4 linked regions of the Pelodiscus sinensis genome follow. Each later gene encodes a partner of the first gene's protein in a complex. Links are inferred from orthologs where the notes say so. Each region holds a gene or a part of one and is shown in the gene's direction. Other genes may lie near its edges.

Region 1 (7,666 bases):
GGGACTTTTGTTTTATTTATAGTTAGCATGTGTGGAGAGAAATAAAACAGTAATTTAAAATACTGTGCAATTAAGGGTTTATTTCTTCAACGTGCAGAAGTTTCTCATTCCAGTAGCTTATTTCAAAGCATAAAGAATTGGAATCTCTAGGTAGTTGTGCCTCATCCATTAAGAGGTGGATAGACATGAAGAAATACAGGAATGGGGATTCCTTTCCATTTAAAAAAAGGAAAGAGATGAATATCCAGGACTTCTATAAAAGTTGAACATTTATGATGACCATCTGTATGAGTACCGGATCTGTTCCAGTCACGTGCAGTTTAATGGTCTTCCTTTCCTTATGGTTCACTATTATATAAAGCACTAAATTACCAGTTCAGCTGTTCCCCAGGCTCTGTTCCTTAAAAATATAACTTCCCTTTCTGCTTGAAACAAAAGAATCTGCTCACTAAAAACACACTCCATAAAATGAAGTCTCCTGTTCATTAAATTCACAATAGATGGTTGCATGAGCCCAAGGACAATTAAATTGGATTAGCTGAAAAACAGACATATTCTACCTATGGGGAATATTGTATGCATATACATGAAAATTAAATATTGAACAAAGGTATGAGGCTTTTTTTTAACTGGGGCAGGTAGGATGCTTGCCATCTGCTGAACACATTGCCCTGTCAAATATCACAGATTCATATCCTGAATGTGGAAACCAAGTGCACATAGCAAATCCATGGATTTCTTTAGTATCTGCCTTCCACTGGCTTTTCTCCTTTACTTGCAGCTCAATTTTGCCACTTCACTGATTGATAAGCTGTGCTACCTCCCACTATTTTGGGGAACTGAGAGCCCAATTTTTCAAATCTTCCTTATGTCAAGAGTACTTTATTGTGTGACAAGTCCCATTCACTGTAAAGGAAATACTCATGTGACTAGAGACTTCACACCTGACAGATTGGCGGAATTGGGCCTATAAAATTAGAAACATAGAATGAGAGATCTAAGTATCTGTGCAGAGTGACTGCATGGTGTCTAGCCAAGGAGCAGCATATCGTTTGTTATTGACAAGAAAAAAGGTCTCCCTAATTTAAGTAATCAACTGGAAAATCCCAAAGGAGTAAATTATTTTAAGATGGAACCTTGACTTACCAACACGCCATGTGGGAAGAACTTCCATGAAGATCTGACTTAATCATAAGTTCACTGCCATACTTTTACTTTATGCATACCTGCTCCTTTCATAGGGATATTCAGTGGTAAGGATTTTGAACCAATATTTTAAAATGCATTAAATTATCCAAGACCAAGGTAACGATGATGAAATGAGGTTTCAGACACTTCAATTAAAATTATATTCTAATGTCCTGAGACACACACCTTTAATGATGTTTCCTCAAATATAAAGTTAGCTTTAGAATTACTCCTTAACATTTATATTTGCTTCTGTGGGCAGTTTATTTAGTCTGTAGAGGTTTTGAGAGTCAGGATTCCTGGATTCTAGAAATGAGCGATTATCATATGTTTTTCTTTTAAAATTTCTAGTTGATATTTTATGAGGAACATGTAGATAGACTGGATTACCTTTCTTCTTATATTGAATCATTTCAACAGAAGGTTAACATCACATTTCAAAGGGTCAAACTCTAATGGCATTTTCCGTAAAATGGGTGCAACAACATTTAACTACCGTGTCAACTTTAATTAATTGATAGCAACTTCCAACCACTTTCAGTACAAATTCCAACCACTCAGGAATTACTCTAGCTTCCTCTGAACTGCCCACAAGCTCTTCCTCCCCTAAATCTCTTTTGAGCACTTCAAGGAATAAGGTCTTGCCTGCCTGTATTTATTTCCTTTATTCAAGGAAAACCTGTGAAAGAAAATTGGTGTCAACACTTTTACCAACATTAAACTATTCTGTAGAACTCTCATCTTTCGAATATTATCAAGGGAAACAGTTTGGTAGGATTTCTTTTTAAAATAGATTGACATTTATATGAATTCACTCTGCAGTTACACCAGTTAGGTTAAAACTACAATAATTCAAAAATCCTGCCAAAATTCCTAAAAACTGATCATCAACTGCAGTCCAGGGGGACAATAATTTATATTGCAGGATTCCCCACTCTCCTCCAAGAAGACTGGGCCCTGTGTATCTTGGTGAATCTCATGTATGTGGGGTTAAGGTGACCATATTTTGAAAAAAAAAATTTTTTTTAAAAGCAGGACACTTTTGTAAAAACGTTTTTAAAGGTAAGGAAATACTCATTCAAAAGTAATTTAAAAATATGTATCGGTGTCACTGCTGCTAGCTTTTCACTCAAAAGCAACACGGGGAAATATCTTAAGCGTGCAGTGCATTTTCTACTAAAGTTAGAGTGCACGTTCATGATACTTCTTCAGCTGATGGGCCTTACAGTTCAATCCACTGTGGGCTATACTCTCCACTCCTAACACCATTCATCCCATCCAATGCTCCTTCCGCTGCACTAGTGCCTTAAGCACCGGACTCCTACTCAGTACTGCAGTACTTCCTGGACCATTTGTTTTTAAAACTTTTAGGATATATAGAAAACTGGAAGGACTCAGGTGCCCTGAAAGCAGGTCTTAGGTAGGGATGTTAAATATGGGTTAATTAAATAGTCAAGTAACCTCATGAATTCTTATCAGTTAGTTGACTATTCTATAGCCCCAGGGGGTGAGGCTGGCAGCCAGTTCACTTCAGCCTTACTCCTGAGGAACCCCCTGCCACTCAGCAGCGCAGGGTGCCAGACGGAAGCTGCTCCAGTTTAAAAAACAGCTCCCCTTGTGGATCAGCTGCCTGTCACCCTGTACTGCTGCCTCTCATAAAGAGGAAGCAGTGCAGGGTGTCAGCAGCCCCTGTGTGTGGGGGGGGGGGGGGGTGGAGGGGGGTGGAGCGGGATCGGTCTGAACTCCCAGACCCAGCATGAGCCGGAACCAAGCCGGGCTGCCTGCCTGCTAGGGTTGCCAGGTGTCCGGTTTTGAACTGGACAGTCCAGTATTTAAGCTTTCTGTTTGGGGAACTAATTGAGAAAATATAAATGTCCAGTATTTTCTAAATAAGATGTAATGTAGAGTGTGATGTAATGTTAAGTGTGTCTGGTATTTTTGTTGAAACCATGTGGCACCCCTACCGCCTGCCCATCTCCTAATACACTTTAAATGCAGAGCCACAGCAGGGGTAGGTCTCAAATCCATCACAAGCCAGGACTGAGATGGGCTGCTGGTCAGCCTGCTAAAAAATTTACTGGCAAGGGGTGGAGGAGAGAAATGTGTGTAGTCTATAGCATTAACCTATTAGCTTTTGCTTATCGGTTTAAGGGTTAATCGACTGCTTTATTACATCCCTAGTCATAGAATCATAGACTCATAGGGCTGGAAGAGACCTCAGGTGGTCATCAAGTCCAGCCCCCTGCCCAAAACAGGACCAATCTGGGTCAGCAGGACATTGTGTGAAAAAAACAGGCTGTGGGATGGCCATGGTGGGTACGCCACATATTGCAACCAGCCACATGCCAGGCTCAGTTGGGCCCAGGGAATACTGGGCAGGGAGGGTGTGACGTAGTGGGGGTACCTGGCTGGTTTCTATGCTGCTGGCTCTGGGGTAACCCCCACTGGCTCCCGTGGGTACCACGACCCAGCAAAACAGGATGAGTCACTATGCAAACCAGTATGGCCAGACACCCCCCATGGAGAGGAACAAAGGAAGGTGGAATGCTGCCCTGGCTGGGGGGCAGGGCTGGAAGAGAGTTAGTTAGTTGCGGTCTGTGAGCATGGAGGAGACAGCCTAGGGAGAGGGGCTGGAGTTTAGGGGCCCAGTCTCCCCCCAACTCAAGGGGGCCTGAGGCATCCTAGCCCAGCTCTGTGACCAGATTACATCTGTGCTGTGCTGTATCCTGGAGAGGCAATAAACTTCTTCTATTCCACCGGCTGGTGCAGTCTGTTTGTGCCATTTCGGGGTGCAGGAGACGGGGGACCCCCAACGCGCCGTCACAGAGGGATGCCCTCTTGGGGGTGCCCTGCCAGAGAGCATGGGGGGAAAGGCTAGAGAGGGTTGCCAGGCGTCCCGTTTTGAACCAGACAGTCCAGTATTTTAACTTTCTGTTCAGGAAACAAATTGAGAACTATAAGTGTCCAGTATTTTCTAAATAAGATGAAATGTGGATTGTGATGTCATGTCAAGTGTGTCCAGTATTTTTGTTGAAACCATCTGGCAACCTGGCTAGACATATGATTTAATGACTAAACTTGTTTCTACATGTGTTTTGAAATCACAGGCTATATTTTTCTATGCAAATATTGGAATTTCAAAATGTAGTAGATTATAAAATGGGGAAATAAGTTCTTGTACACAATTTGTCACACTTGGCACTGGCCCCCACCCATAGGCCTGGGGCTCTGCTTTGGGGCTGGCAGCAAGCAGGAGCCCTGGGCCTGGGACAGGAGCGACCCCTCCCTTCCTGCCCTGGCTGGGGTTGGTGGGGGCACAGTCAGGGTAGCGGCTTCGCGGGTTGCTACTGCGCATGCTCGAATCGCTAGTTGCCATGGCAGCGGGTTGGCTGCCCCTCGCGCGGCCAGCATGGCGCTGCCGGATCCGGTCAGGAGGCGGCTCGGCTCCTTTAGCCGGTCTGTGTTCAGCGACAACAACCGCACCGGCCCGGAGCGCCGAGAGAGCGGCGGCAGCCTGGGTAAGGCCTGGTTGCGCTGCCCGCAACAAAGATGGCGGCGGCATCCTCAAAGGGAGAGAGGTGGGGGGGCAGAGGGTCGCTGCCAGGAACGAAGATGGCGGCGCCAACGTCGCTGTAGCGGGGCTATGGCTAGGACTGGGCGGATGGGACAGCGCGTCCCCGCGCTCAAAGGGCGGGAAGGGGGCGCGCGCTGCCTTGCGCCGGCAGCTTCCCCCCTCCCTCCGCCCCAGGGGTGGCAGCAGCCGCCGCGCGGGGCCTCCCTGCTGCGCCGTGGCTTGGGGACGTGGCTCCGCGTTGGCGTCCCCGGGGCTGCGGGTGCCAGAGCATCCCCGGGCTCGCGGGAGTGAGAGCTGCGCTAATGCATCGTCTCCGCCCTCAGCCCCCCTGTTCCTGCTCCACGGCTTGGCTTAGGTACCGCTCCCCAGGCTGTGAGCCTGCCTGCTGGGGGGCTAGACCCCAGCTTGGGAGCTAGGCTGTGCTGCCAGTCCCACCCGTTCAAAAATCCCAGGTCAGGCATCCCCCCTGGAGCTCAAGAGGCCCTCATCAAAATCCTGAGATTTAAACGAGGACTATGGGGTCTTTGCCTTTGGGTTTCGCATGATTAGGGGTTTGCTTTGGGATGGTTGTTTCTTTGGTTGTGGCAGCTTTTCTTAGCAGCCAGGAAGGATCGGAAGCTCTAAAAAATAAAAGCTGAGATTCTCACAATCCCAGGACTCTAGAAGCTGGGGCTTTAAGAAAAGCACCACAAACTATTAAACCAGTTGGGATGCCATTGGACATCAGCCCAGGGCAAAACATATTGACTGTGTCAGACTGGCAAGTTTTTCCACAAAAGCGGGTGCTTTTGCGGAAAAACTTGCCAGCTGTTTACACGGGCTGCTTGAATTTCTGCAAGAACACTGACGATCTCATGTAAGAAATCAGTGCTTCTGGCAGAAATACTATGCTGCTCCCGTTCGGGCAAAAGTCCTTTTGGGCAAAAGGGCCAGTGTAGACAGCTCAGATTTGTTTTGCGCAAAAAAACCCCGATTGCAAAAATGGCGATCAGGGCTTTTTTGCGCAAAAGCGCGTCTAGATTGGCATGGATGCTTTTCCGCAAAAAGTGCTTTTGCAGAAAAGCGTTTGTGTCAATCTAGACGCTCTTTTCCGCAAATGCTTTTAACAGAAAACTTTTCTGTTTAAAGCATTTGCGGAAAATCATGCCAGTCTAGACGTAGCCTCTGTGCCTTTCTGTGAAAATACTACCATCCCTTCACACTCAGCCAGGCACTCGGTGTAACTTGCCAGATATTTTATACCACCACCTAGCATATTTCATCTGAAAAGCACAAAGCACTCCAGGACGTAAAATAAATCAGACTCTCACTGCCACCACATGTAACTGATGGTTTGGGTGTTTGAATTGGATCTGCTGAACCAGGGACACGTAACAGGACTTACAGGTGAGGCAATCATAAGGAGGAACTTCCACATGCACAAACCCATGGTACTTGTGGATACTTCTATGGGCTGCACTTTGAGAAATGGGGGGGAACTTCCAACAGTCAGTTTACTGATAATTAATTCAAGTAGATTTAATGTGATATCAATCCATTGGACAAAGAAAGAAGGAAACTTGTCAGTTGAAACAAAACCATTCCTGATGTTCTCATTTTTAGGACTTATTTTGTATCTGGGTCTGGTTGTATATTTTTGTTTTGTTTTTGGAATTTACATGCAAACTCTAAACACTGTAGAACTTTACCTCCTACATAGTATTCCAAGGGTCAGTATTTTGTTTTTCTGAGGTTTAGCAGCTAATTTTCTTCTCTTCATAGTGTTTGATTTGTAACTCCTCATTCTGTAATGTACATTCAAATTTGCCCCTTTTTAAAAAGCATATTGGATTGACATTGCTGGAGTCTAGAATTTTCTGTGCAGAAGAAAGATTGCATGGAGACCAAGCGATGCAAGCTTCTCCATCAGCATGCTTGCGTTCTGATTTGTAGAGATCAGTTTTAATTTGAGTATAATCAAATATATATGGTCACTTAGTCCCATTAAAAAAAGGCCTAGCATTATCACATTGCTACAGTCAGGCATCAGGAATTAAGAGTACAAGTCAGTTCACCTCCACTGTCTATTGCTCTCCTTTTGAGCACCTCCTCTGCTTAACACCTTCCTTATTTCTTTGTATACTCCCATCACACTTAGATTGTTTAGAATACGGTAGGGAATTATGTAGAAAAATTCTTCCTCTGGCCACTTTGACATATGCTTAATGATGAACTTGGTTGATCTCAGAATCCAACCATTAATGAGTTGAAGTTGTTCTCTTAAAGTAGAGGCATCTTTCTCTGCTCTATGTAGGAAATATAATGTCTGATACAGACCTTGGGTGATGATGATTTCTCTCGCTCTCTAGATAATGAAATAGTTGCCAGTTTGCCATTGCAGATGTCCCTCTATTTCAACCTTTACTTTTTCCCATTTTGGTGGGTAAGCAGTGTGGTCATGCTCCAGCTGAAGGTAAGTCCTGAGGGGACTTATCCCCTACAACATCTGTGCTGCCTGTTTGAATTTTATTTCCTTACACTGTCTGCAAGAGTAATATAATACTCAGCCCATCTACTCATTTCCTTCAACCCACACATGGCAAATGTTATTTAATAGAGTGCAATAGCTTAGTGGAAATGTCTGAGTATCTGGAGGTGCAGGAATTTGTGACAGAGTTAGTGACAGGTTTGGTTGGGTGGCAGATTGAAAAATCAGGGGCAACGGCTTGTCAACTTTCAGGAATATTGACAGTGCTGCATGAATTTCCAGAATGCAAATTCCATGAGCTTCTGTAGAGCTGTATAAAATAGCAATAGCACATGCCAGCCCCATGGAATTCTTACTTTCTTCCTCTCTCTAGTACCCAGTCTTGCCAGATTACTACAAGTTCATCCTGGTCACAGTCATCGTCATAGTCTCTCTCA
Region 2 (7,380 bases), about 89 Mb from region 1:
ACACTGATTTTGGCTGTTAGGCCACACTATTCTGGGATCCAGAGGAGGGTCATGCAGACTTGGTTATGGGCATATAATAATCTTTGTCTCATCCCATAGCATAGGGAGATGAGACATGCATCATCTGCGACACCATGGCATCCACAAAACGGGGAGAACAAAGGAAATGGATTGGGACTGGGGGAAGAATCCTGACTGAAAGAAATTGAGCCAGTAGGAGTGCTGAAAAACTTGATGAGAGAGACAACTGAAGACAAGATGGAGAAGATGCAGCTGCCTTTTCAGAGGTGTAGCGAGGGTGTTATGCGCCCAGGAGCAAAGGAGCCAAGCAACCCAGCGCCCTTACAACCGAATCGCCTCCTTCAGAGCCAAGCAAACCAACACCCCCCCCCCACCAACCAAATCCCCCTCCTTCAGAGCCAGGCACCAGAAGACCCAGTCAGTTAAGTTCATCTTACTTTTAAAAGAGGCCACTCCTGCCAGCTGCCTCTGCTCACAGTGTGTTCCGGGTGGCAGCACGTGGCCCAGCTGCCAGCTCACTGATCTAAGCGTCAAGTGGGCCTGCGTGGTGTGTGCTCTGCTCCCACCCCGGCCCGGTGCCCCTCTAGCATGGCACTGGGGGCAACTGCCCGTTCCTGCCCCCCCCCCTTCGCTACACCTCTGTGCCTTTTATATTCTTTTTGCCATGTGTCTTCTACATCCTCTGTCTCAAATACAAACACATAGTTTGAAAGCCTTAGAGTTCTGTCCATAGAAATGCCCCCCGGCCTCATGCTTTATGAAAATTAGCTTATTACTATGAATATGCATAATGCAACATGCAACATAAAACATCATGTAACAAGTTATCTGCTGAATATGTATATTCTATTTGTATGTATCATGTGAAGTTAGAAGTATGTAGCTTTATGTAAGTCCAAATCATAACTTGTCTTAGAAAGACATGTGACCGTGCCACCAGCTCTAATATTAACATGTTCTGACATCTTGTGGCAAGTCACTTAAGGAACAGTTGTTAATCTTAAAATATTAATATGTATCCTTACTTTGTTACCAACTTTGCAGGGAGACACACAGTCAGGACTCTTGGGCTCTAGCTCAGCTCTGGAAGTGAAGTGGGGTCTAATAGGTTACAGCTGGGGGCAGATATATTTGGCATCTATATAAGATCAGAATGGCGATCAGACTAATGATCCACCTAGCCCAATTTCCTCTTTCAAAAGTGGTCAATGCCAAGTGCTTCAGAAGGCATGAGCAAAAGAGGCATTTTTCAAATGATCCAACCCGTTGCCCATTCCCAGCTTGTGGCAAAAAGAGGCTAGGGATGCCATCCCTGCCATTCTAGCTAGTAAACATTGATGGACCTATCCTTCTTGAACTTATTTTGTTCTTATTGGAACCCTGTTATAGTTTGTGTCTTTTCACCATCTCCTGACAAATACTGAAGAAATATCATCATAATCATCATCAACCACCATGGGCTCAAAGCCCGTTAGTGTCCAATGCCTCCCTCACTATTTCCTTCCATCTTTCCCTGTCCAGTGCAGAGTGGCTTAGTTTCTGTAGACTAGCTCCGCAACAATCTACTATATCATCTACCCATTCTCTGTGGGGTCTACCTCTCCTATTCGCACCATCCATTATGCCAAATATCAGGGTCTTAACTTTTCGGTCGTCGTTCATTCTGCAGATATGCCTGAATATCTGTAACTTCCGTTGTATAACCTTCTGCAGTAGGTTCTCTTTTGGCTGTATCTTCCTATATAATTCCTCATTGGTAATCTTCTGCATCCATTCTATTCTCAGGATCTTTCTATAACACCTCTTCTCAAACACCAATATCCTTCTCTTTGAATCTTTCATTATCACCCATGTCTCACATCCATACAACATGCTGCTAAATACACACATTTTGTTTTAACTCTGTCTATAAATTTAATTGGGTGAACTTCTTCTGTTATGTTAGTGCAGGAATAAGTAACATTTCCTTATTCTATTTTTTACACCAATCATAATTTTCTAGACATCTAACACATCCTCTACCCTTTAATATTTTCTTTTCCAAGCTGAAAAGTCCCAGTCTTGTTAATTTCTCTTCAGATGGAAATCATTCCTGTTGCCCTTCCTGTACCTTTTCTAAATCCCATATATCTTTTTAGATGGGTTGGTCAAATCTGCACACAGTATTCAAGATGTGGGCATACCATTACTTTATATAGAGGCAATATAGTTTGTCTGTTAGCCTTTCCTAATGAATCCCAATATATGGTTAGTTTCTTAGTTTTTAGACTGCCACTGCACATTGAGCAGATTTTCAGGCAACTATCCACAATGATTCAAAGATCACTTTCTTGGGTAGAGGCAAGCTATTTTAGACCCCATCATTTTTGTATGTACAGTTTGCATTATATTGTTCAATTTGCATTATTTCGCATTTATCAACACTGAATTCCATCAGCCTTTGTGTTGTCCAGTCACCCAGTTTCGTGAGATCCCTTTGTTACTCTTTGCAGTCAGCTTTGGCTTTACCTATTTTGTGTAATTTTGTAGTATCTGCAAATTTTGCTACCTCTCTGGCTCTCTCTTTTTCAAGAATATTTGTAAGTGTAAAAGTACAGGTCCAAATGTAAATCCTAGCAGTACAAAACTCATTCCTAGGGATGTCAAATTTAGATTAATTGGCTAATCAACTAGTCAACACAATTTGCATCAACTATTTGATTAGCCAATATGGGTGTCTTGCCTTTGAAGTGTAGCAACACCCCCCACAGTGCCAGTAGTTTCCTGCTAGCCCCATGCTCCCAGTGGTGTTTCAAAGCAGCAATGCTACAGGGAGCCCAGGGTTAGCAGGGGAAAGTGAGGGGCCCCTTCCACTGCTGCTTTGAAGCACCTCCTCCTCTTTCCCCCGTTACTGCCTCTTTCTCATAGAGGCAGGGGGGGGGGGGGGAGTAACTAGTCAATTAGCCTGTTAGCTAGTCATTCACATTCCTCCTCTTTTCTTTTCTCCTATCTTTTAAGTACTAGTCCCCAACTTACAAACACAGCGACGTACGACCCGCTGCACTCACAACCAACTTCCCATTAAGCACGGCCCCGATTTACAAACAGCAATCCACGCTTACGAACAGCACGGTCCCATTGAAATGAATGGGGTCCAACTTATGAACACGTCTTTACGACCAAGTGCTTGGTGCTTAACTCGTTAGTGAGTTGGGGACTACCTGTAGAGTGCCTGGCCATGTTTTCATGAAGATCTAATGAGCTTAATTACTGGAAGGCCCAGCCTTATGCTTAAGCACCTGCCTCCCTTCTTTTTATAACAAACTCCCTGCCCCAAAGGCAAAGCTGCGAGCAGCTCAAAATCTCCTTGCGTTTAAGAACTGCCTCTGGGAGCAGGACATGCCGCTTTCAAGTGACCTCAAGTTTGAAATCCAAGGGGTCTAACTTTAAGGAGGGGTCTCTGGCGCCCGCGGCTGAGGGGCCAGTTCTCCACTCCTAAGCCAGGTGGCGGGCTCTATTGCAGGGAGCGCGCGAGTGAAACTGACCAGACCCCCGGGCAGGGCGCCATGGCAGCAGGGAAGGGCCGGGCAACGGGCCCGCTGGTTTCAGCAGGAGCCCTCCCGTCGCTTACTAGGCTTGGGGCAGGCCCAGAACGCCCGGCCCCTCCCTTCACTCAGCCAGCGCGGGCGGCCTCGAACTCGACCCGTGCCAAGGCCAGAACCGGCGGCAGGGCCCTTAGCCTGGCGCACGGGGCGAAACCATCTCGGCGCCCTGCACGCTGGCATCAGAACGCCCCACTTCTTGCGCGCGCGCGCCACGTCTCGCCCAACTCCTTCCCCTGCCTCAGTCTCAAGCGCATGCGCCTTGCCCCTCCCTCCCGCAACGGCCTCCCTTAATTTTAAGTAGCGCGTGTTCGTGCCGTCTTCAGGACTCAGCAGTGACGCGTGTGTTTCCGTTGCATTTTTGGTGGGGGGCGGGAGGGGAGAGTGACCTCCGAAGAAGTCCCGGATGTGCGTTCCCCTATTTCCTTCCCGGCGTGTAAAGCGATCATTCAACACGTCGCGTCCCGCTGTCAGCGCAGGCGCAGTTTGCCAGGCGTTGTTTCCTTGGCAGCTGACGCTGTTGTTTGTTGTCGGCGAAACTATAGCGCGCGAGGCGGCGGAGGGGGATGAGGGAGAAACCAAGTGGCGGCGGGGGGGGATGGAGAAGGGACCCGCCGCGCCACTCCTAACTAGAGACGGTGCAAGAAGCCCGGCCGAAGTGAGTGAGAGCCGCTGCCCTGCGCGCGCTGGCGGGGAGGGAAAGTGGGAGGGGGCGGAAAACTGGGTCTCCACCCTGGACGCGTCCCCACGCCCGAGCTCGGCCCCGATCCTCGCAACTGCACCCGCGTCCCTGGCGGCGGGAGGCGCTGGCCGGGCGCTGCTGGCCGAGGCACCCGGGATGAGCCCGGATGGGGGGGTGCAGCGACTCCCGCGGGCTAGGGCAGCGCTCGCACTTTGCTGCCTCCCCTGGGCCCTGCGCTTTCCCAGTCCTGGGGCAGGACTCCGTGGAGGCGCGTTTGTTCAGCGTAGGGATGCCTGGCACCGTGGGTAGCTGGTGAAGGGGGGGAGGACTTGGGGAGACAAGCCCCCACCCCACCTGCAGCCCCGCCCCTTCTGCTGAGGCCCTGCCCTTTCCCTGCCCACATGGGGAGGTGGGGCAGCCCAGCCATGGGGAGGGGGTGGCTGCTCGCCCTTGTCTCCCCTAGCTGTGGAGTGCTGCAGGGAGGGTGTCGATAGGGGCAGCAGCGCTCCACCCCCAGAAGTCCTAGCGTAGACGTTCTGGGAGCCGAGTGTAGGTGGGGTCAAGCCTGGTGGTTTGAGAAGGTAAAGCCTTCCCCTGCCTTACATACCGGATGTCCATTGCTGGCGCCACCCCCATAACCTGGGCTGTGGGGCATGAGGCTGGGCTGTCCAGAGCTGTTCTCCTGGCCCCAGATAATTTCCAGTGAATGAATGGCTGGCAACGCAGATTATGCTGCAGAGCCAATGTTTTAATAAGGCTCTGGAGATGGTCCTGGCTGTTACAGTACAGGGCAAAGTAGTTGAAACTAATACAGAACTGAATTATGAGACACATCGGTGAACACGGTTTGAAGAAGAATCAACATGGCTTTTATCAAGGAAAATCACGTCTTGCCAATCTGTTAGAATTATTTGAAGGAGAGATGTGGGGAGGAGAGGGGGGATCAACAAACATGGACAAAGGTGATCTGGTGGATATAGTGTATTTGGGCTCCCTCACCAATGGTGCTTGAACAAAATAACCAGTCATGGGATAAAAAGGAAGGTCTTGTCCTGAATCAGTAACTAGTTAAAAGATAGGGGGGAAAGGATAGGAATAAATGGTCAGTTTTCAGAAAGGTGGAAAGTTAATAGTGAGGTCCTCTAAAGACCACTAACTGGGTGGTAGGGATATAAAGTCCCATTTAATTAGTTAACAAGTTATAATAATTGTTTAACCAGTTAACCGATTACATGGAGGGGGCCTCCCGCTTCAACCAGTTAAGTGTAGCAAATGGGTGAGGCTTACCTGTTAGCCGGTTAACCATCCACATTCCTACTGGATGTGAATTCACATCCCCACTTTCAAAGGACAATTAAACCATTAATTTTTGGTGGAGAAAACATTTTGAAGGTCTTAATCGTAATTTCATGGTTGCAGATGAAGTTCTTGGGCAAATCCCTCAAAGACCTAGGAATGAGCTTGGAGACTCTCCCAATTTGCATGAGATATACAGTGCCATTAAGCAGATGAAGAACAACAAGACAGCAGGTCCAGATGGGATCCCTGCTGACAACTTTAAAGATAGTGGACCAGAGTAAATTCAGCAGCTAAGCTTGCTTATCCTGAAAATCAGGATAGCAAGTGAAATGAGGGACACCTTGATTGTTACCCTTTTTAAGAAAGGGGATAAAGTGGCCTGTGGAAACTATCATGGAATCTCTCTCCATGCTGTTAGAGGCAACATTCAGATCCTTGCAAACTATCTTTTGCACCTGTCAGAAATTTTTTTACCAGTGTCCCAGTGTTACTTCCGACCATACTGCAGATATGATCTTTGTTGCATGACAGCTAAAATAAAAGTGTCAGGAGCAAAACCAACCACTGTACTAGGGATGTTAAATATCAGTTAATTGAATAGTCAAGTACAGGCAGTCCCCGGGTTACGTACAAGATAGGGACTATAGGTTTGTTCTTAAGTTGAATTTGTATGTAAGTCGGAACTGGCTCCAGATTCAGCTGCTGCTGAAACTGATCAGCGGCTGACTACAGGAAGCCCTAGGCAGAGTTGATCTGCCCCCGGCTTCCTGGAATCAGCCGCTGATCAGTTTCAACAGCGGCTGAATCTGGACTCCTGGGACAGAATAGCTGGGGCACTGCCGGGTAGGTCCCCGCAGGACCAACCCGGCAGCACCCCAGCTGCTCTACCCCAGGCATTCCGCAACAAAAGCCTGGTCTGCTGGGGGGTGGGCGCACTAGCTGCTTCCCCTTCCCCCCCAGCAGACCAGGGAGACCCGAGCAAAGCCACGGAGGCGCAGAGGTCCCGCCGCCTCTGCGGCTTTGCTCCTGTCTCCCTGCTGTGCTGGGGGAGTCCCCCCCAGCACACCAGGGAGACCCGGAGCAGCTTTTCTCGCCCCAGAGGACGCGGTGGCGGGACCGCTGCGCTCTGGGCGGTCCTGCCGCCCGTGAGCTCCGGGGCGAGAAAAGCCCCGTTCGTAAGTGCGGATCCGACATAAGTTGGATCCGCGTAAGTCGGGGACTGCCTGTAACCTCATGAATTTGTATTGGCTACCTGACTATTCTATAGTTGCTGGGGAGGGAGGGGGGGTTACAGCCAGTGCACTCCAGCACCACTCCTGTGGAGCCCCCTGCCACTTCATTCTGCTGCCTCTGTATCAGAAGCAGCAGCGCAGGGTGCTTAGGTGGGAGTTGGTCCACGAGGGGAGCCAGTTTAAAAACCTGCTCCCCTCGTGGACCGTCTGTCTGTCACCCCCCACTGCTCCCTCTGATAGAGAGGCAGCAGCACAGAGTGTCAGCAGTCCCTGTCCAGGGGTCTGAGCTCCTGGACCCAGCACGAGCCGGAACTGTGCCGGGCTGCCTGCCTGGCTCCTAATATACTTTAAATGCAGAGCCTCAGTGAGAGTTGGTCCTGGATCTGTTGGCCAGCCTGCTAAAGAATTAACTGTCAAATGGGGAGATGGCAGGGGGGAGGGGGAATGCATGTAGTCTGTAGCATTAACCAGTAAGCTTTTGCTTGTTGGTTAATCGGTTAATTGACTATACAATTACATCTTTTACACTGTACCTGACTTTTACTGATCTAACTAATGACTTTGA
Region 3 (7,309 bases), on another chromosome or scaffold:
GCGGGGGGGGGGAGCGGAGCGGCGCTGGTGGAGGGATCCGGGGGGGGCGGGGAGCGGAGCGGCGCTGGGGGGGGAGCGGAGCGGCGCTGGGGGAGGGGAGCGAGGGGGGTGCGTGGGGGGGGGAGCGGAGCGGCGCTGGGGGAGGATGCGTGGGGCCGGGGGGCGGAGCGGCGCAGGGAGGGGTGCGCGGGGCGGGGGAGCGGAGCGGCGCTGGGGGAGGGATCGGGGGGGGGCGGGGAGCGGAGCGGCGCTGGGGGGGGATCCGGGGGGGGGGCGGGGAGCGGAGCGGCGCTGGGGGAGGGATCGGGGGGGGCGGGGAGCGGAGCGGCGCTGGGGGAGGATGCGTGGGGCCGGGGGGCGGAGCGGCGCAGGGAGGGGTGCGCGGGGCGGGGGAGCGGAGCGGCGCTGGGGGAGGGATCGGGGGGGCGGGGAGCGGAGCGGCGCTGGGGGGGATCCGGGGGGGGGGGCGGGGAGCGGAGCGGCGCTGGGGGGGGATCCGGGGGGGGCGGGGAGCGGAGCGGCGCTGGGGGCTGGAGCCAAGCGCCCGGGTGAATCACTAATCGGCGGCCCGCGAGCGAGGGGGAGGCGGGGGAGGGAACAGGCAGGTGGTGGGGGGCTGCGGGCGGGAGCGGGGGGGGGGCAGGGCTGGGGGAGGCTTCCACGGGTCTGTCGTGGCAGGGAGAGGCTGCAGCACGTGCACTGTGTCCTTGTGCCCCAAGGCCCCACCAGGCGGGGGGGGGGGGGGGGGGGGGGTTGCTGAGTGGGGCAGGTGAGGGGGAGGTCACCGGGCTGTGTGGGGGGGGTCACTGCATGAGGGGCACCGTGTGGGGCGGTTGCTATATGGGTGGGGGGCACCATGGGGGGCGGGGCCTCTGCCCTGTGGGGCCTGAAGGAGCTACCAGGAGCTTCTGCTTCCTTCCCTGTTTTGGCAGCATCTGGACCCCTCCCCCCCCCCCCCCTGTGCCAGGCGCTGCCGGTTCCTGCCCTTTGCTGGGGACGTGGGGCCTAGGGCTGAGTTGCCCAGAGGGCTTGGGGGTCACAGAGGGGTCACAGCCCTGCAGGCCCCAATGGAGCTCAGTTCCCCCCCATTCTGCATCTATCTCCCCCCTCCGTTCCCACCCTCCTCCCCATCTGCTGAGGCTGCTCTCAAACGCTGCGGGGGGGGAAGCTTGGCAGCAAGGCCTAGTGCGCAGAGCCCTAGACTGGGCCTCAGGAGACCCAGCGTCCCAATCCTGGCCTGTCACTGTCGTGCTCCGTGCCTCAGTTTCCCCAGCTGCAAGGGAGGACTAGCGACCCCCGCCCCTGAGAGAGGTGCCAGCGTGTGGCTGAGGGAGGGGGCTGGGGGCTGGGGGGCCAGCCACAGGGGGATCCATTAGTCAGCGCAAGGTGCGGGGGTCGGACGTCAATGTCATGGCTGCTGCATAATCAGCCCCCATCCCACCAAGCAGGAGTGCGGCTGTTAAAGGCCCCAGCCCCCCCCTCCACCCCCCAGCTGCCGCCTCTTGCATGTGGAGGTGGGAGCAGCCACCGGGGACCCAGGAGTCCTGTAGCCAAACGCACCCGCTGCTGTTCATGGATTTCCTTCTAGCCCCACGGGGACATTGGCCCCCAGCCCTGCCGGTGCCCCTCTCTCCTGCCCCCCAGCCCCTGCCCCCCCAGCCCTGCCGGTGCCCCTCGCTCCGACCCACAGCCACTGCCCCCCCAGCCCTGCCGGTGCCCCTCGCTCCGACCCGCAGCCACTGCCCCCCCAGCCCTGCCGGTGCCCCTCTCTCCTGCCCCCCAGCCCCTGCCCCCCCAGCCCTGCCGGTGCCCCTCGCTCCGACCCGCAGCCACTGCCCCCCCAGCCCTGCCGGTGCCCCTCTCTCCTGCCCCCCAGCCCCTGCCCCCCCAGCCCTGCCGGTGCCCCTCTCTCCTGCCCCCCAGCCCCTGCCCCCCCAGCCCTGCCGGTGCCCCTCGCTCCGACCCACAGCCCCTGCCCCCCCAGCCCTGCCGGTGCCCCTCGCTCCGACCCACAGCCCCTGCCCCCCCAGCCCTGCCGGTGCCCCTCGCTCCGACCCGCAGCCACTGCCCCCCCAGCCCTGCCGGTGCCCCTCGCTCCGACCCACAGCCCCTGCCCCCCGAGCCCTGCCGGTGCCCCTCTCTCCTGCCCCCCAGCCCCTGCCCCCCCAGCCCTGCCGGTGCCCCTCGCTCCGACCCGCAGCCCCTACCCCCCCAGCTCTGTTGGATCCCATGTCTCTCTCTGGGGAACAGCCCAACTCAAGCTCCCTGCCCCAAGGGTTTTGCGATGGAGCCGACCAGACCGGGCATCTCTGGATCCAGACAGTAACAAGCCACCAGGACACAGGCCTGGTCTGGGTGTGAACCAGCCTGGTTTTGTCCCCCCCCCCCACCTTGGCCCTCACGCCGGGTGGGGCTAGCCAGGCACAAAGCTGGGCTAGTGGGGATCCAGCCAGAGTTGGACCAGGCTCAGGCTCAGCCTGCTGGTGCCCCCCCGCCTGGGCCCTGTGCTGGGAAGCAGACGGGGCGTGGTGCATTAGGCGCCTGTGCTCTCAGCTTCTCGCCAGCATTTTAGAACCCTGCTCGGAGCCCGTGGGGGGCTGGAAACAGCAGGTTTCCAAGGGACGCTAGAGCAAAGGGCCCATGATGCCAGGAGAGAGCAACATGGTGCCTGCTATCTGGCAGGAAGGGCCCGTGGTTATAGCTGAAGGGGGAGAGGATGGTGCTAGGACTCCTGGGTTCTCTCCCCAGCTCCGCCACTGATGTCCACCACGATTATGGGCATGCGCTCTCTGTGCCTCAGTTTCCCCCTCCACTGCATTGTGAAGCACTTTCAGTTCTGCCTGATCCCGCCCTCTTTGCAGCAGTAGCCAGTCGCCAGTCGGGTGGCAAGTGTGAAAACGCAGGGTGGCCACAGGCAGACAAAGCCCCAAATATCTGGACTGTCCCTATAAAATGGGGACACCTGGTCACCCTAATGGCCACCCAGCTAGGGCCCAGGGGGCTCTTTCCGTAACGGGTGCTCTCGGGCAGGGTGGGCCTGTGGGACTCACTGCCACAAGATGTCACCATGGCCGAGCACAGTGCAGGACCCACCGAGCTTGGCTCTTGGGTTAGATCAGGGCTGAGTGAACGAAGTCAGAGGTGCCCCTTGGGTGTGCTGCAGGGGTCTCTGCTTGGCGGTGGCTCGTCCCTGCTGAGTGTCCAAGGCCCAGCAGTGCGCAGGGCGTGGCCCGGGGGTGGAGGGTGAAGTGCCTGGAGCAGGGGGTCAGATTTTGTGTCTGGCTGTGGGCGGGGGCGGGGGATGGCTGGTCCATGCAGGCTGGCAGATCCAGGGCGGGGTGGCTGCCTACGTTTGCTGAGGGTCTGTCTCCCTCTGGACAACGCGCTGGGCACTGGGGGCCGGGAAGGCCAGCGGCCCAGCGGCTGGTGCCTGGCGCTCGGTCTGCTGGGCTCCAGCTCGACCATCAGATACGGGCTGGGACGGGCGGGGCTGGGGCCTGGACTCAGGCAGGCCCTGAGCTCAGCCCTGGTGCTCCCACAGTGCCCCCCCCCCGCGTTCCCATGGTGCCCCACAATCTCCTCCCCCGTTGCTATGGTGTTCCCATGATGCCCCTCCCCCGTTGCTATGGTGTTCCCATGATGCCCCTCCCCCGTTGCCATGATGCCCCTCCCTCGTTGCCATGGTGTTCCCAGATTCCCCTCCCCCGTTGCTATGGTGTTCCCATGATGCCCCTCCCCTGTTGCCATGATGCCCCTCCCCCGTTGCCATGGTGTTCCCAGATTCCCCTCCCCCGTTGCCATGGTGTTCCCAGATTCCCCTCCCCCGTTGCCATGGTGTTCCCATGATGCCCCTCCCCCGTTGCCATGGTGTTCCCAGATTCCCCTCCCCCGTTGCCATGGTGTTCCCATGATGCCCCTCCCCCGTTGCCATGGTGTTCCCATGATGCCCCTCCCCTGTTGCCACGGTGCTCTCACGAAGCGCAGCCCCCACGCTGCCAAGCTCGCTGCCCTTCCCAAAGATGGCTGCCTCCAGGGCTTTGCTCCGCCCAATAGCGGCGTCCCCGGCCCGTCATGACCCATCCAAGATGGCGCCGCCTTCACGACTCTCTTTGCCACAGTCAAGATGGCGGCGAACTCTTGTCGTCTTCCTGGGCGGGGCCTGCGCCAAGCGCCGTCACGTGCCCCTGCGCCAGCCAATCAGGATTCGGCGTTGGGGAGGAGCCCGCCGCCGTTGCCGTAGCAGCCGCGGGCTCGCGAGCGGCGCGCGGCGGAGCCGGGCCCGTGGCGCGAGCGGGTCTGTAGCTCTTCAGGGAGGGCGGGGCGGTGGGATGGTGGCCGCGCAGTGCGCATGCGTTTGGTGTCGCTCCTGCCTGCCCTTCCCGGCCCCCGCCGTTACACGGTGTGAGCTGAGCACGCGCCCGGCGCCTTGTCCCCGCCCCGAGACACACGTGGGGGGGGCCGGGCCCTGGGGCGGGGCAATGGGGGCGGGGCCCGGGGTGGAGAATGGGCGGGGCCAGTGGGGGCAGGGCCCGGGGTGAAGGAGGGGCGGGGCCAGTGGGGGCGGGGCCCGGGGTGACGGAGGGGCGTGGCCAGTGGGGGCGGGGCCCGATGTGAAGGAGGGGCGTGGCCAATGGGGGCGTGGCCCGGGGTGAAGGAGGGGCGTGGCCAGTGGGGCGGGGCCCGATGTGAAGGAGGGGCGTGGCCAGTGGGGGCGGGGCCCGGGGTGAAGGAGGGGCGGGGCCAGTGGGGGCGGGGTCCGGGGTGAAGGAGGGGCGGGGGTCAGTGGGGGCGGGGCCCGGGGTGGAGAATGGGCGGGGCCAGTGGGGGCGGGGCCCGGGGTGAAGGAGGGGCGGGGGTCAGTGGGGGCGGGGCCCGGGGTGGAGAATGGGCGGGGCCAGTGGGGGCGGGGCCCGGGGTGAAGGAGGGGCGTGGCCAGTGGGGGCGGGGCCCGGGGTGAAGGAGGGGCGGGGCCAGTGGGGGCGGGGCCCGATGTGAAGGAGGGGCGTGGCCAGTGGGGGCGGGGCCCGATGTGAAGGAGGGGCGTGGCCAGTGGGGGCGGGGCCCGAGGGTGCTGATGTCTCAGCAGTGGGGGGGGTCTCTTGCCTTTCAGGGGTGCTGCTCCCAGAGGGGGGTTGCCCTGGGGCGGGGGTCTCCCCACAAGGGTGCAGCCCCCACTGGGCGGGGAGGGGCTGGTCTGCAGCGCCCGCCCCCCCAGCACCGTGCCGGGCATGGAGCCGGGTATCCAGGCGGGTCCCGCGGCCCCCCCAGAGCAGGCGGCCGGACCTTCAGCTGCCCAGGGCTCTGCCCCGCTGCAGCAGCCCAGCGGCGGGTCCCTGGCGGGTTGGCCCCCAGCAATTTCAGCCCTTGTGGGGCAGGTGCCCCAAGGACCCGCCGCAAGGAGGGCAGCTCGGTGCCGCTTCCTTGGGAAGGAGCTAGAGCTGGGGCTGAGCGTCAGGATGCCTGGGGTCTTTCTGGCGGTGGGAGGGCAGTGGGGGCTAGTGGTTAGGGAGCGAGCAGGGGCTGGGAGCCAGGACTCCTGGGTTCTATTTCTAACCCCCCTCTTGGGTCGCCCGCGGCAGGACCATGGCCGAAGTGCACATCATCGGGCAGCTCGTGGGCGCCAGCGGCTTCCCCCGCTCCAGCCTCTTCTGCAAGTGGGGAATCCACACAGGTCAGCCAGAGCCACGGGCACCCGCGAGGCTGGGGGGTGGCATCTGCGGTGAACGGGCTGGAGAGGCCCAGAGCCAGAGCCAGCGGGTTGGAGAACTGGGGGCCCAGTCTTGTGGGTTCTATCCCAGGCCTAGCGGTTAGAGCCAGGGCTGGGAGCCCCTCGCTGACCATGCTCCCCCCCCCCAGGCGGCGCCTGGAAGCTGCTCTCCGGCCTGCGGGAGGGGCAGACACAGGTGGATCACCCCCAGCTGGACGACGTGGCCTATTGGTCCCACCCCATCGACGTGCACTTCGCCACCAAGGGCTTGCAGGGTAAGCGGGGGCCGCCGGCCCCAGGGCCAACCCCCTCTGTCCGGGGTGCCTGGATCTCCGAACCGGCCTGGGGGCAGGGCCAGTGGTACGGGCAGGTGGCTGCCAGGGGGCCCATCTCTCCCCCCACGTTCTGGGTGGCCCCCGGAGGCTGGGCAGGGCAGGGCAGGGCAGACTTCCCCCTGGACACAGGTTTCAGCCCTGGTCTTGTGTCCCTGTCCCCACGGGACAGACAGCCCAGGAGATGGGGAAAGGCGCTGGCTGGTGGTGTTCTTTGTACGCTGGGCGCCTGTGCCACTGCTCAGGAGAGAGTCCGGCGCTGCCCAGCCGGCGAGGAGAGCGCCCACCGCTAGGTTTTGTTTCTCTTGGTGGTGCACATCCACACGTGCCCCCGTGTACAGCATAAAATTATTCCGCGCGTGGGTGGCAAAGCCCTGCAGTGGCTGGAGGAGCTGAGAGGGAACCTTGCAGGCCCAGCGCAAAGCGAGTTCCTCTCAGTGAAAGGCATTTTGCCTCCTGTCCAGAACCCCCAGAGGCGGTTTGTTGCCCAGTGATCTGGGGTTTTCTGCCCTCCTTTCAGCCCCCAAGGCAGGTCCTGGAGGGGGACAGATGCAGCCCCACGTCCCCCTGTCCCGGCTGCAGGAGAAAGGCTGGTGGCTCCTATGGGACGGGGCATGGAGCATGCGGCCCATCCCCTCTCGGGGTGCTGGCCCAGGCAGTGCCAGGGTTGGGGGCTCTGACGGGTCCCCTCTCTCCACCAGGCTGGCCCAAGCTGCACGTGCAGGTCTGGCACCAGGACGCCTTCGGGCGCAGCGAGCTGTACGGCTACGGCTTCTGCCACGTGCCCTGCAGCCCGGGCTGGCACGCGCTGGCCTGCGCCACCTGGCAGCCCCTGGGCTCCTGGCAGGAGCGGCTCTCCCAGCTCTTCGTGGGCGGGGGGCCCCAGCTGCTGAACAGCGACCTGATCTACACGGGGGCCGACCGGTACCGCCTGCAGACCGTCGCCGCCGGCACCGTGCACCTACAGCTGGGCGTGCTGCTGCGCAACTTCGCCCGCTACGGGGTGGAGTGCTAGCAGGGGGCTTGCTGTGGGGCGGGGCGCTGGGGGGGGCAGGTGGGGAGGGGGTCCTGCTGGGGTGCTGGGGGGCAGGTGGGCCCCTGCTGGGGGGCAGAGGAATGGAGGGGCCCCTGCCGTGGGGCGGGGCGCTGGGGGGCAGGTGGGTCACTGCAGGCCGTATGAAACCCCACCGTGGGCTGGAGTATGAGGGGTCTGCCCAGATCCAGTGCCTGATGCTGGAGGAGCCCCAGGATCCAGGGGGGTGGCCCCCTG
Region 4 (7,304 bases), on another chromosome or scaffold:
CCTGGCACTTGCATCCCTGCTTGTAGGGAGGTGGAAGGAGGCCTCTGTATGCCTGGGCCCCAGGGATGGGCTCAGAGGGGGGTTGTTCTTGGTGGGCAGGGTTGCTTTAGACTAGGAAGTGGACCACAGTGACAGTGCATTTCTCCCCCATGGCCACTAGGGGAAGCCCTCTAACCCTTTGGACATAGGGAGCTGCTTCCCATTAAGGATCTGGAGGAAATGACAGAATGGAGCAGCCCCTGGGAGAGAGGAGCAAGGAAGTGGGTAAAGGGACCCAGTGTGCTGAGCTCTGTGGGGGGCTGCACAGTTGCTCTCACATCTGTTTCCTGCCCTTAATGTCCGTTGTGCCCCTCTATCTCTTTCAGAACCTGCGCTGGAAAAACTCCACCCGCTTTGTGTGGACAGATGGGCTGCAGGCCCTCTTTGTGTTCCAGCGGCTGGGTAAGAGACAAGCTCCGCTCTGGACCCTTCAACTCCCCCAAGCAACCACCCACAGACACCTAGACTCAGGGAGAGCTACCAGAAAGCTGGCCCCATCTGCCTTCCCTGCTGTCTCCCAGGCTGGGATCTGGGGTTTGTTAAGGAATGGCATCTCTGTTCCCCTGAGCCGTACCAAACCCTTCCCATGGGGGCTGGATCTCGATGAGGCTCTGCCTGCCCTGGTGGTCAGCAAGACACACTGGGGTGATCCAGCAGACAGAGGAGGGGGTAGGGGTGAAGACATTCTGAACGGGTTGAGCTGTCTCATCTTCCTCTTGCTTTCCCCAGCGGCCGTGCTGTACTGCTACTTCTACAAGAGGACGGCCTTGCACCTGGGTGACCCCCGCTTCTACCAGGACTCCCTATGGCTGCGCAAGGAGTTTGCTCACATCCGCAGCTGATGGCTTCCCCTCGGACCCAGAGCCATGGCCGGTCCGTGGCTGCTCCCTGTTGGCTGGCACAAAGCCCCCTTTCCTCTTTATCCAGAACAGTCCACCCCCAGCCCTACACACAGCTTGCTTGCCGGCTGACCAATGGGGTCCTGTTGGTATCAACCCCTTTCAGCTCTGCTTTGCATATCTGGTGGGATGAGGTGCCAGGACTCAGCCTGCCCTAGCTGTACCTGTGGGAACTCTATCCTGGTGGTAGAACTTCCTTTTGTACCTGCGTATTTTTATAAGTTATGAGACAGTAAATTGGCTCCCTTTTCCAGAAACCTCCTTGTGTGTTTGCATTTTTTGGGTGCACCCTCCTTTCCCCAGGCCCTGTACTGTACTGAGGGCATATGCCCCACTATGCTCCCCCTCGCTCCAGCATTATTGTGTCCTAGCCCACATTGCAGCTAATTCTACTGGGGACAGGAGCCCAGTGGCCAGGACACCCTCCCTGCAGCTGCTGAGCTGCCTGTGGTGTTTAGTCATTCCCCAGTCATGGATCAGAGCCCTGCAGAGCTAGGCACTATAGTAACACAGAACAAAGATGGTCACCGCCCCAAAAGAGCTGACAATCTAAGCAGAAGACAATAAGATCATACCCTGTCACCCTGACTAGCAGTATGTGTGCCATCTGCACAGTAGGTGTTACTGCATGGGTTGATTTCCTCTGCCATTCTGCATCTGAAGGATGCAGAGCCTTAGTAAAGGCCAGGGCAGAGGTGTGGACTGGGAATGGCACTGTAACATACAGCCCATGTATCCCATGCTACTCAGTCTTGGAAGCATGGGTGGTGAGTTATATGGGTACATGGAGTCTGGGCACTAGGAATGTTCCTGGGTCTTGTCCCTGATCCCACCTGCCATCTCTGTGGACCTCCCCTGAAGCATTCCCCAGTCCAACCTGCAGCCCTTGGGCAATTTAAAACTGCCCCCCCATCACCACTACCAGTGGCAGTGCAGCAGGGCTACAGTGGCTTCTGGCCACTTGTTCCATGTGGCTGCTGGCACATGCGGCTCCACAGAGGGGAGGTGTCTCTGTACACTGCCCCCTTCCTGTGTGGTCCATGGGAAGCTGCCGGGATGGTACTGCCAGAGAGGAGTGCCCCTGGTAAGCACTGCACCCCAACCCCTCCCTCTGCACTCCTCCTTTGCCCCACCCCCTCCCCAGTCTTTTCTCCCACCGCCACTACTCCCTCCAACTCCCAGACTACTCCTTCCTGCATTCTCCCTTCCAGCCCAGAGCCTGTACGCAAGCACACAGACTCCTGCCCAAAGCCTGCAGCCCAGATACTCTTCCACACTCAGAGCACAACCCCTCACCTCCCTCCTAAAGCATGCATGTCCTGCACCTCATTCCCTTGCACCCAACACTCAAACTCCCTCCCAGAGCCTTAGGCTGGTGGGGAAGTGACTTTGGGCTGGGGAGGGGTGCGGGCATTGTGGACATCTGCAAAATTGCTGCCCTGCTTGGCAGGGCAAGAACATGGAGCACTTGCTAGCCTAACGAGCTCAGATTAGAAATAAGCTCAGGTTCCCTTTAGGTTGCCAATGCACTGTGTTTTCAGCACTGTTTTATTTCCAAGTTGCCTATTCCCGAGGAGAAAGGGCCTGGGTAGCAGAGGGAGTACAGCTCAGGAGTTAGAAATAAATATCATAATGAAGAACCATGTTATTTCCTTTCTCCAGACAGGCTGTGGGGCTGCACTGCATGGGGGGAAGTGGAGAGGACTGTTGGACGATGACCCCATTATGCTGCCTGGGGAGAAGGAAGGGGGGGTCACTGGCAATGTTCCCTCTTTTTTTTTTTTCATCCATATGCAGAATACATTTTGTTAAGTGTCTCCACCAGTAGAAACACATGTGCACCACCAGTAGAAACACATGCTGCTGACTGGGTGCTCTGCTAATTAGCTGGGTGGCACCTGATTTTCAGCTTACAGGGAACACTGGACTGGTGAGCAATGGGTATTACACCAATGGAGGAGTAGGGTTGGGATGCTGAAGGAGGGGGCAGGGACTCATCAGAAGCTGTGCCAGTGGTACTGTAGTCACCAGCCTTGCTGTTTGGCAATTGATGGGAAATCAGGGTTCATATGGGACAATGAAGGGAGTGTGTACCATGTAATGCCCCCAATATTAGCCATGAGCCCCCAGATCAGAGGAAGAGCCAATGGTAGTGTTAACTCTTTGATAGGCTCATAGAACTGGAAGGAACCTGGAAAGATCTAGTCCAACCCCCTGCACTCACAGAAGGACCAACCACCATCTAGAACAGGAGTGGGAACCTTTTTTGGGTCAGGGGCTGCAGACCCACAGAAAAATCAGTTGGGGGCTGCACACAAGTGAGAAGGAAAAAAAACCTAAGATGCAGAAAGACACTTCACTTTCCCCTGTGTCTTGGTGGCCAGATCCAAGCAAGCTGGGGGCTGCATCTGGTCCCTGGCCTTAGGTTCCCCACCCCTGATAGATGCCCTTCCAAACCGCTCTTAAATATCCCCAGTGATGAAGCTTCCACAACCTCCCTAGGCAACTTACTCCAGTGTTTAACCACCCTGACAGGAAGTTTTTCCAAATGTCCAACCTAAATCTCCCTTGCTGCAATTGAAGCCCATTGCTTCTTGTCCTATCCTCAGAGGCCAAGGAGAACAATTTTTCTCCCTTCTCCTGCTAACACCCTTTCAGGTACTTGAAAACTGCTACTGTAGCCCACCCAGCTAGGCTATGTCTACACTGGCAGGTTCTTGTGCAAGAATCTGCAGAGCATCCACACTGCCCACCCTCTCTTGTGCAAGAAGATTTACAGTACAGCGTAGTGAGAGAGGGCTTCTTGCGCAAGAGCTATGCTCTTTTTTAACAGGTGTAAGCCCTCTTGCGCAAGAGGGCAGTGTGGACGCTCGGCAGGGGTTTCTTGCACAAGAAAATGGCCACTGGAGCTTTCTTGCACAAGAGAGCATCCACACTGCCATGGGCGCTCTTGCGCAAAAGCACCGCTCGCACATGGCAGTGGGGATGTTTTCTTGAGCAAGACTTCTTGCACAAGAACCCTTGCACAAGATGTTCTTGTGCAAGAAGCTGCGAGTGTAGCCCTAGCCCTAGTGTGGTTCGCTGTCCCAGGTAGTGGCACTTGGACCACTGGCAGGGAGAGATGAGAACAAGGGAGCTCCACAGCCTCAGCTGGGTTTGCAGCTCAGGGCTCCAGGTCCAGGTCCCCATAGGGGGGGGGAGCTACATGCTCATGTTGGGGAGCACAGCGCCCCAGCTCCTGCAGCCAGAGGGCGGGGTAGGGCACGAGACACCCCCTCCCCCTTTAAACCAGCACTGGGGGCGGAGTCTTCGCTCGCCTCGGGCTGAGCTCGCGGCGCGGCGCCCGGCGGGTCCTCCAGCACCATAGAGCGGCGGGGCTGAGCCGGACGGAGCGGCGCAGGGCACCGGCCGCTCTGGCCCCCGCACTTCCGCTTCGCCGGCCCGCGTACCCGGAAGCGATGTCGCTGGGTGACAGTTTCCATGGCGATGGAAGATGGCGCTCAGAAGTAAGTGCCGGGCTGGGGGAGAGGAGCGGGGGCGGTTACGGATTCCTCCCCCCTCCCCCTCCCCCTCCCCCTTCCCTCAGGAGCCTTCACCGAGCGCGGGGGGGGGCGGCGCCACGTGACCCTCATTCATGTGGGAAAGGCACGTGACCTCCCCATCTCCCACCCTCGGGGCGGTCCGTCCCCCTCCCCCTCCGCTAGCTGGGGCGCCACGTGACCCCACGTCCCTGCTCTCCCTGGGGCTGCCACATGCCCCTCCTCCGGGGGGGGGGGCAGGGCGGTGTCACGTGAGCCCCATCGGAGGGGGGTGGCCTTTGACCTTTCCTGGGGGGGGAGGGGCGCATGTGTCCCAACCCCGGCACCATGGGGGGGGGCACCTGCCTCCCCTTGCCCCACCCCATGCACGGAGCCAGCGCAGGGGTCAGGCCAAGGAGTGGGAGGGCTCAGGGCAGGAGATGGGGGAGCTGGGGGCTGGGCTGCTCCAAGGGCACTGGGGCGACACTCACTCACTTTCACCTTTGGCGTTAGCGCAGTTCAGGGTCTTCTGGCTTCCTCTGCCCATTTTGGGAGAAGACTGAGGCCAGCAGACTTGTCTGGGGAGTGGCACCTTGCCCACTCATGCTGTTCATCCCCCAGGCCGTCAGCTCTCCTCCACCCCGCTGGAAATCCTGCTCTTCCTTAATGGGTGGTATTACGCCACTTACTTCCTCCTGGAGATCTTCATATTTGTCTATAAAGGTGAGTTCCCTCGGCTGCCATCTCAGATCACCAGGGCCATGGAACTGCCTTTAGCAGCAGGGGCTGCTGTCTGGGCTGTGGCATCAGGTATCCCAGGACAAGCCCAGGGGAGTGTCATTTGACTTAAACGCTTTGGCCAGCCCCACTCCCTCGCAGGGCTGCATCTGATGCAGGGTAGGGTTGTAATAGTACAGTAAATTAACCAATAAGCAAAAGCTTATAGGTTAATACTACAGACTACATGCATTTTCTGCCCCTTGCCAGTAAATGTTTTAGCAGGCTGGCCAGCAGCCTGGCTCAGTCCTGGCTTGCACTGGGTCCGGGACCTACCCCCTTCTGGCTCTGCATTTAAAACGTATTAGATGCCAGGCAGCCCGGCTCAGTTCTGTATCAGAGGCAGCAGTACAACGTGGCAGGCAGTTCCCACCTGGCAACCTATGCTGCTGCCTCTGATAGAGACACAGCAGCGTGTGGTAGCAGGGGGCTCCTCGGGAGTGGGGCCAGAGTGCACTGGCTGCCAGCCCCAGCCTGGAGACTATAGAATAGTTGACTAACCGATAGGAACTCATGAGGTTAATCGACTATTTGGTTAACAAATATTTAACAACCCTAGTACAAGGAGGTGTAAAAAGAAGTCATTAACATTTTACTGGGCAAGGACTGGGACCTTTAGATGAGCCTGTCTGTGTCCTTGCTGGACCTCTCTAGGGCTGTCCATGAGACTTGCGGGAAAGTTTGAGGGTCTTGTGCTCCTCCTGAAACAGGTGACTTTTGTGTCCTTAGGGCTGCTGTTACCATACCCCTCTGCCAACCTAGCCCTGGATCTGGTCATGCTCTTCCTCTATCTCGGCATTGAAGTCACCCGGATATTTTTTGGTGAGTGCCTAGGACTAATGGCCAGCTCTGGAACAGCAAGGCAAGTTGCCCAGGCTGGTACCCTGAGTTCAGTGGACTGCCAAGCAGTCAGTACAACTCCCTTTTGTTCACAACTTGGAGATGGATCAGTGCCTAGAACTGGAGAGCTCTTTGCCTGAGCCAGCCAGCCCCCTCGCCCAGACCAGATTGGAGCCAGATCCCTGGAAAGGAAATGCCCTTGTCCCATTCCCAGCCCCCTGCCTGGGGTTGAATTGGAGCCTGTTCCCTAAAGGGGAGAGGGCTGTGTAAACCATTCCCCAGCACTCTGCATGCATGGATGCCTGCAGGGTGGGGAGCGGTTGCCTCACACACTGTGCCATGTGGCAGGCTCCAAAGGGAACTTGTGCCAGCGGAAGGTGCCGCTCTCCATCAGCCTGGCCTTGACATTCCCGGCAGCGGTGATGGCAGCCTATTACCTGCTGCTGCAGACCTACGCCCTGCGGCTGGAGGCCATCCTCAACGCCATCCTGCTGCTCTTCTATGCCGTCGAACTGCTCCTGGGCATCCTCACCCTGGCCTCCTTCTCCAGGTACCCCTCCCCTGCTGCCTCCTGCCTTGGGAGGCAGTGGAAGATTGAGTGGCAGAGAGAGGGGCTGGAGTGCACAAACTGGCTGGGAGGGAGACTGGATCTCAGGGTGAAAACAAGCTCTGGGGCTGGAGCGGGCATAAATAGGGGATGGGCAAAGTGGGGAGAGAAAATGGTGCTGACACCCAAGACAGGCAGTTCCTGTATGTGCCTAGGGATCAGGACTTCTGGGTGCCATTCCCGATTGCCCCTGCTTGTTTCCTCACCTGCATGCCTCTCCTCTGATGGGCTGCCTCTCCCCAGGATGAGGACAGATTCTTGAGAGAGAGAAGCCAGTGGGGTGACAGGACTGCCCAGGGTTGTGAGGGAAGCTCCCCTTAGCCAGAGCCCAGTTCAGGGTGAGGTTGGAAGCTACCACAGGTTTGCTAGTGATGGCCAGGCTCATTGCTGTTTATCTCCCTCTAGGGTGGACTCGTACTGAGGCTTGTTCCAGGCCAGACAAGGCTACACATTGCCTGGGGCCGGAGGCCACACATTCGCTCCCTACATGGCTGGTCTGATGGCAGCCTCTCAGTCCTTTGGCGTTAGATCCAGCTGCAGCCTCATTCTGCATCAGCCCCGGCCAGGCAGAGAGCCACCGCCGGGGTGCCCAGCGGCTTGGAAAGAGACTTTAATTCACTTCCC

Evidence for each region.
Region 2: TMEM17 (region 1) and AHI1 share a complex: the UniProt entries of both Homo sapiens proteins name them as parts of the tectonic-like complex. The link is inferred for Pelodiscus sinensis from reciprocal best matches to the Homo sapiens genes TMEM17 and AHI1.
Region 3: TMEM17 (region 1) and B9D2 share a complex: the UniProt entries of both Homo sapiens proteins name them as parts of the tectonic-like complex. The link is inferred for Pelodiscus sinensis from reciprocal best matches to the Homo sapiens genes TMEM17 and B9D2.
Region 4: TMEM17 (region 1) and TMEM216 share a complex: the UniProt entries of both Homo sapiens proteins name them as parts of the tectonic-like complex. The link is inferred for Pelodiscus sinensis from reciprocal best matches to the Homo sapiens genes TMEM17 and TMEM216.

What each region holds. Positions count from the first base shown.
Region 1 is NC_134713.1:185,703,754-185,711,419, forward strand, and holds the start of TMEM17 (transmembrane protein 17), read left to right. Parts: upstream 1-4,539; 5' UTR 4,540-4,597; coding exon 4,598-4,706; intron 4,707-5,788; exon of another isoform or gene 5,789-6,090; coding exon of another isoform or gene 6,091-6,148; intron 6,149-7,110; coding exon 7,111-7,214; intron 7,215-7,602; coding exon 7,603-7,666. UniProt on the Homo sapiens protein: Transmembrane component of the tectonic-like complex, a complex localized at the transition zone of primary cilia and acting as a barrier that prevents diffusion of transmembrane proteins between the cilia and plasma membranes.
Region 2 is NC_134713.1:96,668,416-96,675,795, reverse strand, and holds the start of AHI1 (jouberin), read left to right. Parts: upstream 1-4,070; 5' UTR 4,071-4,260; intron 4,261-7,380. UniProt on the Homo sapiens protein: Involved in vesicle trafficking and required for ciliogenesis, formation of primary non-motile cilium, and recruitment of RAB8A to the basal body of primary cilium.
Region 3 is NW_027465992.1:83,966-91,274, reverse strand, and holds the start of B9D2 (B9 domain-containing protein 2), read left to right. Parts: upstream 1-4,151; 5' UTR 4,152-4,294; intron 4,295-4,350; exon of another isoform or gene 4,351-4,401; intron 4,402-5,579; 5' UTR 5,580-5,583; coding exon 5,584-5,671; intron 5,672-5,856; coding exon 5,857-5,982; intron 5,983-6,740; coding exon 6,741-7,054; 3' UTR 7,055-7,309. UniProt on the Homo sapiens protein: Component of the tectonic-like complex, a complex localized at the transition zone of primary cilia and acting as a barrier that prevents diffusion of transmembrane proteins between the cilia and plasma membranes.
Region 4 is NC_134714.1:125,525,205-125,532,508, forward strand, and holds the start of TMEM216 (transmembrane protein 216), read left to right. Parts: upstream 1-4,296; 5' UTR 4,297-4,431; coding exon 4,432-4,444; intron 4,445-4,969; exon of another isoform or gene 4,970-5,077; coding exon 5,078-5,179; intron 5,180-5,962; coding exon 5,963-6,055; intron 6,056-6,420; exon of another isoform or gene 6,421-6,421; coding exon 6,422-6,623; exon of another isoform or gene 6,624-7,085; coding exon 7,086-7,101; 3' UTR 7,102-7,304. Other genes in the region: TMEM138 (transmembrane protein 138), read left to right, coding at 366-441, 769-881. UniProt on the Homo sapiens protein: Part of the tectonic-like complex which is required for tissue-specific ciliogenesis and may regulate ciliary membrane composition.